Caenorhabditis elegans: one gene and its partner. The protein of the gene in region 1 interacts with the protein of each later gene in a pairwise test. Each region holds a gene or a part of one and is shown on either strand. Other genes may lie near its edges. The genes, in order: thoc-3 and tcer-1.

The links.
Region 2: the proteins of thoc-3 (region 1) and tcer-1 interact in a two-hybrid assay, tested with the Caenorhabditis elegans proteins (one study listed by BioGRID).

Annotation. Positions count from the first base shown.
Region 1 is NC_003279.8:8,969,148-8,973,692, reverse strand, and holds thoc-3 (WD_REPEATS_REGION domain-containing protein), read right to left. Parts: upstream 2,555-4,545; coding exon 2,450-2,554; intron 2,373-2,449; coding exon 2,223-2,372; intron 2,177-2,222; coding exon 2,065-2,176; intron 2,020-2,064; coding exon 1,913-2,019; intron 1,807-1,912; coding exon 1,535-1,806; intron 981-1,534; coding exon 731-980; 3' UTR 656-730; downstream 1-655. Other genes in the region: F32H2.12 (SRCR domain-containing protein), read left to right, coding at 39-183, 230-380, 429-556, 600-627; F32H2.10 (Integrator complex subunit 1 R4 domain-containing protein), read right to left, coding at 2,730-2,842, 2,886-2,994, 3,040-3,253, 3,299-3,378; spd-2 (Spindle-defective protein 2), read left to right, coding at 3,622-3,712, 3,756-3,995, 4,043-4,420, 4,463-4,545.
Region 2 is NC_003280.10:7,045,073-7,051,971, forward strand, and holds tcer-1 (WW domain-containing protein), read right to left. Parts: upstream 5,000-6,899; coding exon 4,899-4,999; intron 4,841-4,898; coding exon 4,814-4,840; intron 4,755-4,813; coding exon 4,412-4,754; intron 3,917-4,411; coding exon 3,730-3,916; coding exon of another isoform or gene 3,698-3,729; exon of another isoform or gene 3,366-3,697; intron 3,212-3,365; coding exon 1,872-3,211; intron 1,818-1,871; coding exon 1,371-1,817; intron 1,323-1,370; coding exon 1,091-1,322; intron 1,037-1,090; coding exon 969-1,036; 3' UTR 801-968; downstream 1-800. Other genes in the region: ZK1127.5 (putative RNA 3'-terminal phosphate cyclase-like protein), read left to right, coding at 5,603-5,732, 5,780-6,186, 6,234-6,836.

The DNA of each region.
Region 1 (4,545 bases):
AAATTTTCTGAACAATGAAAAGGTTATATTTTTTCCAGATCGCACATGTTCAGCAAATGTTCTAATAGATCGACGGGAAAGATTTGGATGTTATGTCAGTGATTGTGGAAGTCCGAGAGAAATATTATGCTCTGAAAATGGAAATGGTTGGCTTTCCAAAAAAGTATTTTCCACGGAATCAAGGTGAAACCAATTTTTGAGCATAATACCGAAGCTCTTCTTTTTCCAGATGTGAAGATAACACCCATATTCGTCATTATTGTTGTCGGCCACAATCTCAACTTTGCACGTGGCAGGGTGTATGGACTTCAACTGAAACATTTCAGAATATAAATTGCCAGTTTGAGCCTAATTCAGAATGTGGGAACTTATTGTGTACTGTAAGAGTAGAGTGGACTGGTTTTTTCTTCGGAAGTCCCAATTTACAGAATGGGCAACACAAAATACTGGCGGATTCTGAAGGTTTTTGTCGATCGGTGATGATGAATGGAAGATGGGGATCTGCCACGTGTGGCAAGATTTTTTCAGACAATTCTGATGAATGGTACAAGAAAATGTATTTGATTTTTAAAGATTTTCATTTATCTTGAAATTTTCAGAGATGCGTATTCGGTGATTGATGTATAGTTTGCAGTTGATTATTTTTAACTAGATAAAACGATTTTTTTAATTTATAGTATCAGATCAATTTTCGAGAACAAGAGCAAGAGAAAATAATTATGGAAAAATTTTACACGGTACTGTGTCCAAACGTTTTAACATGTGCTGCTTCCCTATTGTCCATACTATCGGAAGCAGTGTATGCAAGGAGAAGAGAGTTCGGATGCCAGGCAACTGAATAGGTCTCGCCAGTGTGTTTAATTTCGTGGCAACGTGATCCGTCTGGTACATAGGCAATATCGATTGAGTGATCTTCGGATCCAGATGCAAGAAGTTGACCATTACAAGAAAATGATACAGCTCTTATTCCGTAGTCGTGTCTGAAAGTTTTGCAGTTTTAACTTTAAAAGCATCTGAGAACAATACTTCTAATAATGGTTATGTTTCGAAGCTATGTCTATCATCCAATTTTAATTATCGTACATAAACTGTAATACATAAAAATTGATGATTTACGAAATATGATTTCAAAAAAGACGGACGGGAGTCTAGATAAATGGATTAGGTTGCAAACTTGAAAAAAAATCTCATCATTATTCGAATTTTGAGAGCATCTGCTTTCAAAAAAGTATGTTGGAGCAAAATACAAAAAATAGAAGTTGGCGAAAAATCAAAAAAAATTTATAGATTCGATTTTCGATGGAATCTCAAATATTTTGTGCTAAACTCGCAATTAATTAGTCGCACAAACGTTGGAGTAAAGCAATTCTAATATTTGAGGAAACGAATTCAAAAACTATTAAAAGCAACATTTAGCTTAAAAAGACTTGTAAAATATATTTTTTTAAATAAAATAACGTTTTAAGTATAATATATTTTTAAACATATATTTTTGCCCCAAAATACCAAAAAAAGTCCCAGTCCTGCTGCTTACCTAGGAATAACTCTTTCACAAATGAGTTCTTCAAGATCCCAAAGTGAGCAAGAAGCATCCGATGCTCCAACTGCCAATTTTCGCCCGTCTTTCGAGATCGACACTGCCAGACACTCAACTTGATGCGAATGGGCTTGAATCGAAGTCACAGGTTCAAGGGCTCCACCGGCGAACTTTAGAATTTCAACTTTTCCTCCAGACTCTGCTACGAATACGTGGTTCGACAAAGGGTGAAATGTTAGCTCGTGGGAGAAAGTTTTCATTTCATAGGACTGAAAATAATTAAATTTAAAATGTTTTGATCGTCTTTACAACTTTACAAGCAATCCTAGCAAAATCCTAAAAATCTCAAGTTGCTAAATAGCTCTTGAAACTCACATTTACAACTTGATAATTCCGAATGTCTACTGTATTTATCCGATTATCTTTGTCGAGAAATATGAAATATTCGTCACACGGAGACCAGGAGATGAAGAAATTTCCAACTGAAAGCCGATCATTTTTAGGAGTTTAAATTGTTAATTTGAAACCTCGATTTGAAATTCGATGAGTCGGTTTGCTTTGTCGAATGTCCCATACACAAATGTTTCTATCTGCACTGGCTGATGCAAATAAGTTTGGCTGCTTTTCACTACATGCTACCTGAAATAGAAATCGTTAACACCAGATGAGGAAATTTCCGATATACCTGTTCCACAGACGATGAATGACTAGAGCCCACCCAAGAAAATCTGAGACGACCTCCATCCACATTTGCAACGCTCACTTTTTTGTCGAATGCACCACATACAAGTTTTGTTCCATCACAATTAAATGCTATTGATTGGCATTGCTGGACCTGGAATAGAAAAGTAGTTTTCATTTCTAAAATTGATGAGTGGGAAAGCTTGAAATATATTATTTCTTTAGGTATACCTTCATATCGGTTGATCTGATTCTTTTGTACTTTTCAAAATATGTCGAAGCATCAGCTGCCGTTAACAGACGTGCACATCGTCGTTCTCGGGAAGACACTGTCATCTGAATTAGATTTTAATACTTTCCGAATATCATGAAATTTTATAAATAAGGTATAAAGATGGGACAAGTTAAGCCCATTTTTACCGAGAAGCAAAGAAAAATCAAATAAATGAAATACCCGATTTATTGATAAATGAAAACCCGTCGCAACTCATAAATCTAAACAATAAATCAATCATTGAGAAGCTTTGGTATAAGATTTTGATAGAAAACTTTCAACGTCAGTACATGGAGCTGGAAGTCTGTTGTATGCTATTGATCCGAACTTTATCAGGTTATTTGCTTCTTCTGCAAGATTAATATGAAAATGAGTTTATTACTATCGATTCACCTGGACAGGCGTCAACAAACTTAGGCAGAAGCGATAAAGCATGTTGAGCCACTTGAGGATTTGAATTTACAAGTGCCAAGTGATAGGAATCGAGCATCATTTGCCGTGGCTAAACTTTCAAAATTGAAATTATTGTCATTTTGATAATTCTTACACTTTGAGGATGGGCCAAGATTTTCAGACAAGCCGCAAATGCAAATTTACGAATAGGTGTCGTTCTGTGAGTTAGCAGCTGGGACACGAACTTTGGTGCTTTCGAACATCGTTCCGGATTACTTCTCTCGATTTTCTGAATTATTTCAAGCAGTTCACGATCATTTGGAGTATGCGATTGTTCGTATTCGAAGATTTGTTTGGACAGAGGGTCACTGAACAGTTATCGAATTTTTAGAGAAAACCTAATAAAAACCAACCTTATGACTTGCTGATCATTGGGAAGAAATCGAGATTGACTAGCAGCACGTCCCATCATTCGTTCATCAATATCACCCATTGTTTTTGTGTTTTATTTTTCGCTGAAATTCACAATATATTTAGATTTTATGTTTTAAAAACGACTATAAAAAAATAGTTATTTCAATTTGAATTGCAAAAAATATGATACAAAAGTACGCATTTTCGCGTGGCCGTGTTTGCGGACACAGAAAACAAACATTGGCGCGCCCGTCAAATGATTAGTGTTTACGCTTTTAAAATCATTCATTTTAAAACTTTTTCTATTCTCAGCGTATTAAAAATGGAAGATGATGCTCCAATGAATCTCTGTAATGAACAGTTCGAAGAAATTGAAGATAGTCCCATTGATGACAATGATAATGAATCATTCTGTAAGTTATTATACATGTTATGCAATTAAAATAGCTTTTTCAGACAATGCTGATGGTGATGTAGAACTCGAAGAAGAGGAAGTACACGAGACACCGAAAAACTTCAAAAATGGTGGTCGCTTCAAAACAAACATGACTAATCCAAAGGTTAATGACCTGACAACGATTGAGGAGAAAAATGAAGATTTGCGATCTGCCGCTAGCTCGCGCAGTGCGAGTCGTCCAGCCAGCGTGATGAGCGATAAGTCGTTTTCTAGTCAATTTGAGTTTCAAAGTGGTGGAGGTTAGTTTTAATCTACTTAAACCATTAATTTTGTTTCTAATTTTCAGAGAATGCCATTGAAGAATACACTAATCAGGTTTTTGCTGATGAAAACAAAGCTGACCTGCTTTTTCCTGAAACTTCAAAATTTATGAACGGAGCATCGCCGCCTAAAGACAAGCATCACTCCTGGGAGCCGTCCATACACCATTATGATAAGCAACCACCTCCCGACATTCAAACAAATTCGCCCGTCTTCGGAAACTTGAATCATCGAAAAAATAAATTGATTCCCCAAGCTAGAGCAAAGCCAGGAGCCAATGACAACGAAATCGTGGAGAGGGATAATGACGAAAATGTGCCGACAACATCTGATAAATCGGCATTTATCACATCACCGATGAATTCCACAAATCACGACGAGAAAACGAGCACTCCTAAAAGACGTGAGACTTTCAATTTAAACTTTGTTACGACAATATTTTCAGCAACTAATCGGAAAATCGGTCAATACCAAGGGCCTAATTTCGATTTATCAAGCATCTACGTTGGTAGTCCACAACACCAGAAT
Region 2 (6,899 bases), on another chromosome or scaffold:
GGATACCGTATTTTTGCGGGAAATTTTCGTGTCTGCATGTACATTTTTAGTTTATTGTTTATTTATTTATGTTAATTCGGAACTCGATAAATTAAAACAAACAGTAATACATAAAAAGAACATCGGGGAGAATCGAATAACACATAAAATAAGAAAAACCCGTCACAGTCCATCTTAAGTATCAAAAGTAAATATATTTGACAGAAGAGGATAAATTAACGAGAAATTCAAAAGAATCCCCCCTCTACACCTCGGTCAAATTTTCAAACACCCGTACTCAAAAATGTTTAAAAATTTTATCAATTCAGAAAACCTTTTTAATGTTTTTATATTGTAAGAAATTAGTAGATTTGCAAAGAAAAATTTGGTAGAATTGAACTATTTCCCGAGAAATAAGCGTTTTTTGGAAATTTCGTTTTCATGTGCTACCCGTACTCAAATTTATCGTTGGACCTGAAATCAATAGCACTTCTGAAAGTGTTTGATTCAACATGTTTTTACAAAGTATGCCCATCAAGATATCACTAAATTTTCATGCACAAGCATAGAAATATTCTCAGAGAAATACCAGTATTATGAAAAGTTAAAAAAAAACCTTTTTGTTGCAATTTCAATCAAATTTTCTATACTTCCAAATAAAATTGGAGTTTTTTCAAGTAGAATCTAGTAAGCCCCAACACAGAAAAATGTTCTGAAAAATAGTATGGCACTCCCTATTAGACTTGCACTCCCTAATAGTATTGCAAGCGGGAAGACCATCGAAAAATAGTATTGCAGCCATATTAATAGAAGAAATACGGTAATTCTTTTTAGAATCAATGAGAGGCACAAACAATAAGTGGCTAAAAATACTGTGGATACAGGTACAAAAATAGATGGAGAACGGGAAAGTGATGAGATTGAATGAGAAGATTGGATCTGATTAAAGATGGAATATCAACAACTAATTTAAATACTTAATCAAGTGTTTATTGCTTTCTGCGATCCCGCTCTTGTTGTGTTGGTGGAGGCGGTGTTCCTTTGCGGCCCAAGTTTTCTGGAAATATTAATATGTAAATCAACTGTATCAATTTATGAGCATTTATCTTACCAATATGATCTTCTAGCATACGATCCCGTTCTGATGCACTCATAGCAGTCATCCGCACCCATCTCTTATCGTTTTCGAGAACTGACAAAATATCCATGTGCTGTTCACCTTCTTCCATCAATTTTTTCGACTTATGCGTGATGATTTTTGTCTCAGAAAGCATCTCCTTGAATTCATCAGTAAGGTGATCGTGCCGTCTCTCCTGCCAATCTCGGAAATCTCTCTCAACTTTCTGAAAATAATAAAGTTAAAGTATTTTAATTAAAAATAAATCACAAACCCTCTCCGAGTTGCTAGCAATTTTTACGAAAGTCTCTTCCTCGTCTTGAATGATTTTTTTAGCGTCTCTCCAGCGCATCATTGGTGTGATCTTCTCATGATTATCTAGAACTTGGAAGAAAGCCTCACGACGCTTTCTTTCCAAACTTTTGATATGATCATCAAAGAGCGACTCTTTGCGAGTTTTATCCAACATATCACAATTTGCATAGCGTTCATCTTTTCGAAGAATGCGTCGAGCCTCGTGCCAACTGTTTTCGGTAGATTTTATCAGATCGATTAGAAGATTTCGGTAGGTATCCTCGTGTTCGCCCATCTTTTGTTTCTCACTTTCTTTTGTGCGCTCTCGCAGTTGATTACCAAGTTCGGCTTCAACTTCTTTCTGACGGTTTGCAATGGCCGTTTGAGCAGCAAGACGCTTCTCACGTTCCTGCTCTTCTTCGATATCCTGAAAATGATATTTTAAAATTGAAAAAAAAAAACAATAAGACAATAAATTCACCGATGCTGTTTCATCTCCAAGATTCGCCACAAATTCTCGGAACAGAGATTCTCTGGTAGAACTACTATCGAGAGCAATGTATCTTTCTTCATCTTCAAGTGTTTTCTTCGTGGTTGACCATTTAGATTTGCGCGTGAGACCAGTCTGCTCTTCCAAAAGTTTCACAAAAGCTGCTTTCAGTTTTTCTTTCTTAGCACGTTTCTCGTCTTTTTCCTTCTTATGCAATTCGCCGACAAAATCGTTGAAAGCATCTTCTCTATCACGATTTCTTTCAACTGCTTTGTAACGAGGGTCTTTTCCGAACTTTGAAGTGAATGAAGAATACGATGACCGTCCATTGAGTTCGCACTCAGCAAGTAACTTTTGAAATTCTTCCTTTGCTTCTTTGACCCGTTTTCTTCTCTCAGCTTTCTCAGATTCAATTTTTTCCCGGCAAAAAGCATCGAAGCAAGCTCTACGCTCAGTAGCCCCAAGAGACAGGTAACGTTTGTCGAAAACAATTTTTGAAAGTTCCTTCTCGAACGTGCTTGATGTGGAAACATTTTTTTCTTCGAGCATTTCCTTGAACTGTTTCAGTCTCTCCTCCAATGGAACTTTCTCTCTTTCCTTTGCAGCTTGCATCTCAGCCTCAATTGCAGGATCAACTGGTTTCTGAAGCATTTGGCGAGGACGTTCCTTCTCCTTCTTTTGAGCAGCAATCAAAGCTTCCTTCTTCTTTTCAGCTCGACTTTTCTTAGCTTTTGGAGGACCATCCTCATCAGACTCAGATTCTGACTCGCTTTCTTTTTTAGACTGATTATTTTCTTCTTCTGCTTTTGGAGATGGAGGATTCTGAACTAGTTTGTCAACGTCTTCGCGTCCATATGTATCTGGTGGACGTTCCCAAACAGAGCACTTCGTAGAAGGATTGTAGAAGAATACCTTGTCATCACCGGTCCAAACAACACACCATGGAGTTCCACTGACTGGAGTGCTGCTAATGGGACGAGTCGAATCTTTCTTTTTAGCAGCTTCGGCGTTTACCGCAGCTGCAGCAGCTGCACCTGAAGCTTGTGCTTTAGACAATGGCATTCCACCTCCGCCATTGGAAGAAGTTTTCTGTTGAGCCATAAAAGCTGCCAGCGCCGCTTGTGCTTTGGCTTGAGCTTCAGCGATAGCAGCCGACTGTACAGGTTCGGGAGACGCTCCCCCTCCATTCTCTTGATCGATGAGAGCTTTTGGTTTTTCCCAAGTATTCTCTTGTGTTATCGAATTGAAGTAGTATTTCCGGCCATCCGGGGCATTAAACTCATTCCAGGCATCATCAGGATTTTGTGGGATTTGACCATGTGGCATTCGCTCTGAAAAAAAATCATATGTTAGGCATAAATATGAAAAATAAAATCTAATTTATATTCAGAGACCGCCCCTACGTGGATCCCGAATCTCATAGTCAAGAGATAATGATGATTTTCTATTATGACTTGATGGAAAACTTAGAAAAGTGGACATTACACATTAGTGGATGGCATGATGCTCGCACGGCATAGAATGTCCTTCTCGCAGCTCGTAAATCGGTAGTTGTTCCGCAATTTTTTCCTGTGGCTGTGATACAATACGGACTTTTTGATTATTACCACTGATTTTTATGTTTCTTTTTTCCAAACTTATTATCAAACTTTTCTAACAAACGCGTTTCAGCTTTGACAGCAATGAAGAGGAACGACTAGAAGAGCGACATAATCTTATGGAGAGATGAACCTAAGAATCTGAAATTTCTGTGCCAGGTTTAAACTTAACCTTCTGAAAATTAATTATAAATGTGCAAAAAGATGGAATCAAAAACATCAAATGCTAAAAGTTGAATGCAATTGCATACCTTCACGATTCTTTTCCTCTTCCGTGGCTCTATGAATGAGTTGAGCCAATTCTGGTTGAGTGACTATTTTAGCGTTTTGTGGTCGCTCCCAAATTGTGTTCCTGTTAACTGGATGATAAAAATACTTTTTTCCTTCAGCTGTCTCAGTTTCAACCCATAACTCTTGTCCTTCTTCACATCCCGAAAGCTGAAATACCGTATTTCTTCTATTAGTATGGCCTCCCTATTAGACTTGCACTCCCTATTGGTATTGCACCATGAACACCCTCCGAAAATTAGTATTGCACTCACTTTTAGTGTTGCACTCCCTAATAGTCTTGCGTCTACTTTTTTTCGGTGCAAACCCGCCTCACTAAATTTGAGATTTTAACAACATTTTCTGCGTCGTTTTCAACAATTTTCGTGAAAATTTTTATAAGATTGAAGTTTTTGAACTTTTTTGTTGCAATTTCAATCAAATTTTCTGAATTTTTACATAAGATTCGAGTTTTTTCAGAACAAAAGTAGTAAGCTCAAAGTCAGAAAAAGGCCCTGAAAATTAGTATTGCACTCCCTAATAGTCTTGCACTCCCTATTGGTATTGCAAGCGGGAAGACCATCGAAAAATAGTATTGCAGCCATATTAATAGAAGAAATACGGTATACGTTTCTAGACTATTTCAACAATTGAACATTTACTCACTCTCTTCAGACGTTGCTCCTGATCTTGTGGATTCGGCCCTGGTGCTTGAGCACCATATGCTCCAGGACCTCCGTTATAAGGCCCTCCGTACGCTCCTGGACCTCCATTTGGTGCAACACCATAACCTCCTCTGTATGGAGGCATGTATCCACCACGACCTGGCGGCATACCGCGACCGCGCGGAGCAAAACCACTGCTCATACCTGGTGTAGCAAATCCACGACCTCTACCTGCGAATCCTGGAGGAGCCATCCCTGGTCCACCTCGACCACGTGCAGCTGGGGGAACACCGAAAAAACTTCCAGCACCGCCTGGCGGTCCATTAAATCCTCTACCTCTGCCGCTGAAAAAATGTACTGATAATTTATTTAGATTGAGCATGTAAATTTAATTTTATAATACCTTGACGACCCTCCTCGACCATATCCACTGAAAAATAATATTTTTACGGTTTTCGTAAAATTAAGAATACCAAAAAAAAACATACCCAAAATCATCGCCTCGGCTTGATTCGTCGTACTGCTGGTCATATTTATTGTCGTGGTCTCCGTTATAATCATCGTAGTTCTCCTGATTTTCGTGGCTCATCTGTAAAAAAGAGCAGTTCATAAAGTAAAATCCAAAAACAGTAGTCTAGCATAATGGAATTACGAAAAGTTTCAAAACTATATCTAGTTGAGCTCTATAAAGATCAGCTATGTATATAACAGAGTGTTAATTGCTTGGCTTATATATTTAGTCATTCCCATTTACCCTAATAATACTTTGTAAACTGAAAACAAATAAAATAGTTGTAAAAAGCTCCGAAATATGTTGCAAAGGACCGCGTCGCACACCGCGTCGCGCTCTGAATTCTCACAATGGAGCGCGTTTGCATTATTTTTTTTCGCGGAATTTTTTTTGCAGTTGCAGATGAATACAAAAAATTAAAAGGATTTAAAAAAAGTCTTTTTAATTAACTGATTTATTAAGACACAAAACGAGTAAACGTTTTCTTTATTTTTTGCTGATTTGCAGATAATATATGCTCCCAATGAAAACTGCTCTCTAGCATTTTTAGTTTCTATTTGAGCTCAATCCTCAAATTGGAGAATTTTAATTCAAATAAATTTAATATTTATATGCTGTTATTTTTCAATCGCTTGTTTTTCTTCAATTTTCGTCTTGACTGATGGACACATTTTTCAGGTAATGTCCAGTGAAACTCTAGAATTCAGTGGATGCAATTTCTTCCGAATCAGACTAGCGTACTCAATTCTCAGCGGAAGACCCATCAGAATAATAAACATCAGAAAAAATGATGATAGACCAGGAATCAGAGGTCGGTCTACTCATTATCAACTTGTATCACATAAAATATTATTACAGATTTCGAATCAAAACTGATCGGTCTACTTGAGAAAGTGACGAACGGTACTAAAGTTGAAATCAGTCGAACAGGTACTCAAGTCATTTTCCGACCGGGAATGATTACTGGCGGTGTTGTTAATTTGGATTGTGGTACCGAAAGATGCATTTCTTACTTTTTGGAGCCTCTTCTATTGCTTTCTCCCTTCTGCAAAGTTCCAATGGTAATCAAATTGAAAGGAGTTACAAACGCACCTGGTGAAATCTCAGTCGATGGTATGAAAGCTTCTTGGTTGAAAGTTTACAACAAATTTGTGCTCAATGATGAGAAACTTGATATCAAAATTCAAGCTCGAGGATTGAAACCAGAAGGAGGCGGTGTTGTCGTGTTTACCGCTCCAATTGTTAAAACTCTTCGGCCAGTAAAAGTGAGTTTACTTTATTCGTTTCTTCCCAAACAAAATGTTAATTTAAGAGACAACAAGTCGGAAAAGTTTGTAAAATTCGAGGTCAAGCATATGTTACTAAAGTTACACCTTCACTAGCTTATCGAATGATTGACGCTGCAAAGAAAGCAATGCATGGGTACATTTCGGATGTTTATATTACTGTTGATCAACGGAAAGGTGATGCTGGTGGCGCTTCTCCAGGATATGGTCTGTTCTTAACCGCCGAAACGACAGAGGGTGTTATCTACCAAGCAGAAGCTATTTCAAGACCGAAGGGCGAATCAGGAGTTCCAATTCTTCCAGAAGACATTGGAATTGAAGCCGGTCATGCTCTTCTTCAACAAATTTACATGGGAGGTGCCCTTGACAGTAGTGCTCAAATACTTGCAAGCACATTTATGACACTCTGTCCTAAAGATGTTTCACACTTCCTCTACGGTCCTCTTCCAATGTATAGTGTACACGCACTCAGGCATCTCAAACAGTTTTTTGAGATCGAGTTTAAAATGGAAGACTTTAAAAAAACATTGAAGGAAGAGGAAGCTGATCTCAAAACAGGAAGTGCCGATAAAGCTATGGTTACCGCTGTTGGTGTAGGATACAGCAATTTGAACAAGACCATTCTATAAATTACTCGATTTGTTTTTTCGTTGTTATGATTTCTCTATTGTTATTGTTGTTGGTTTTCATTT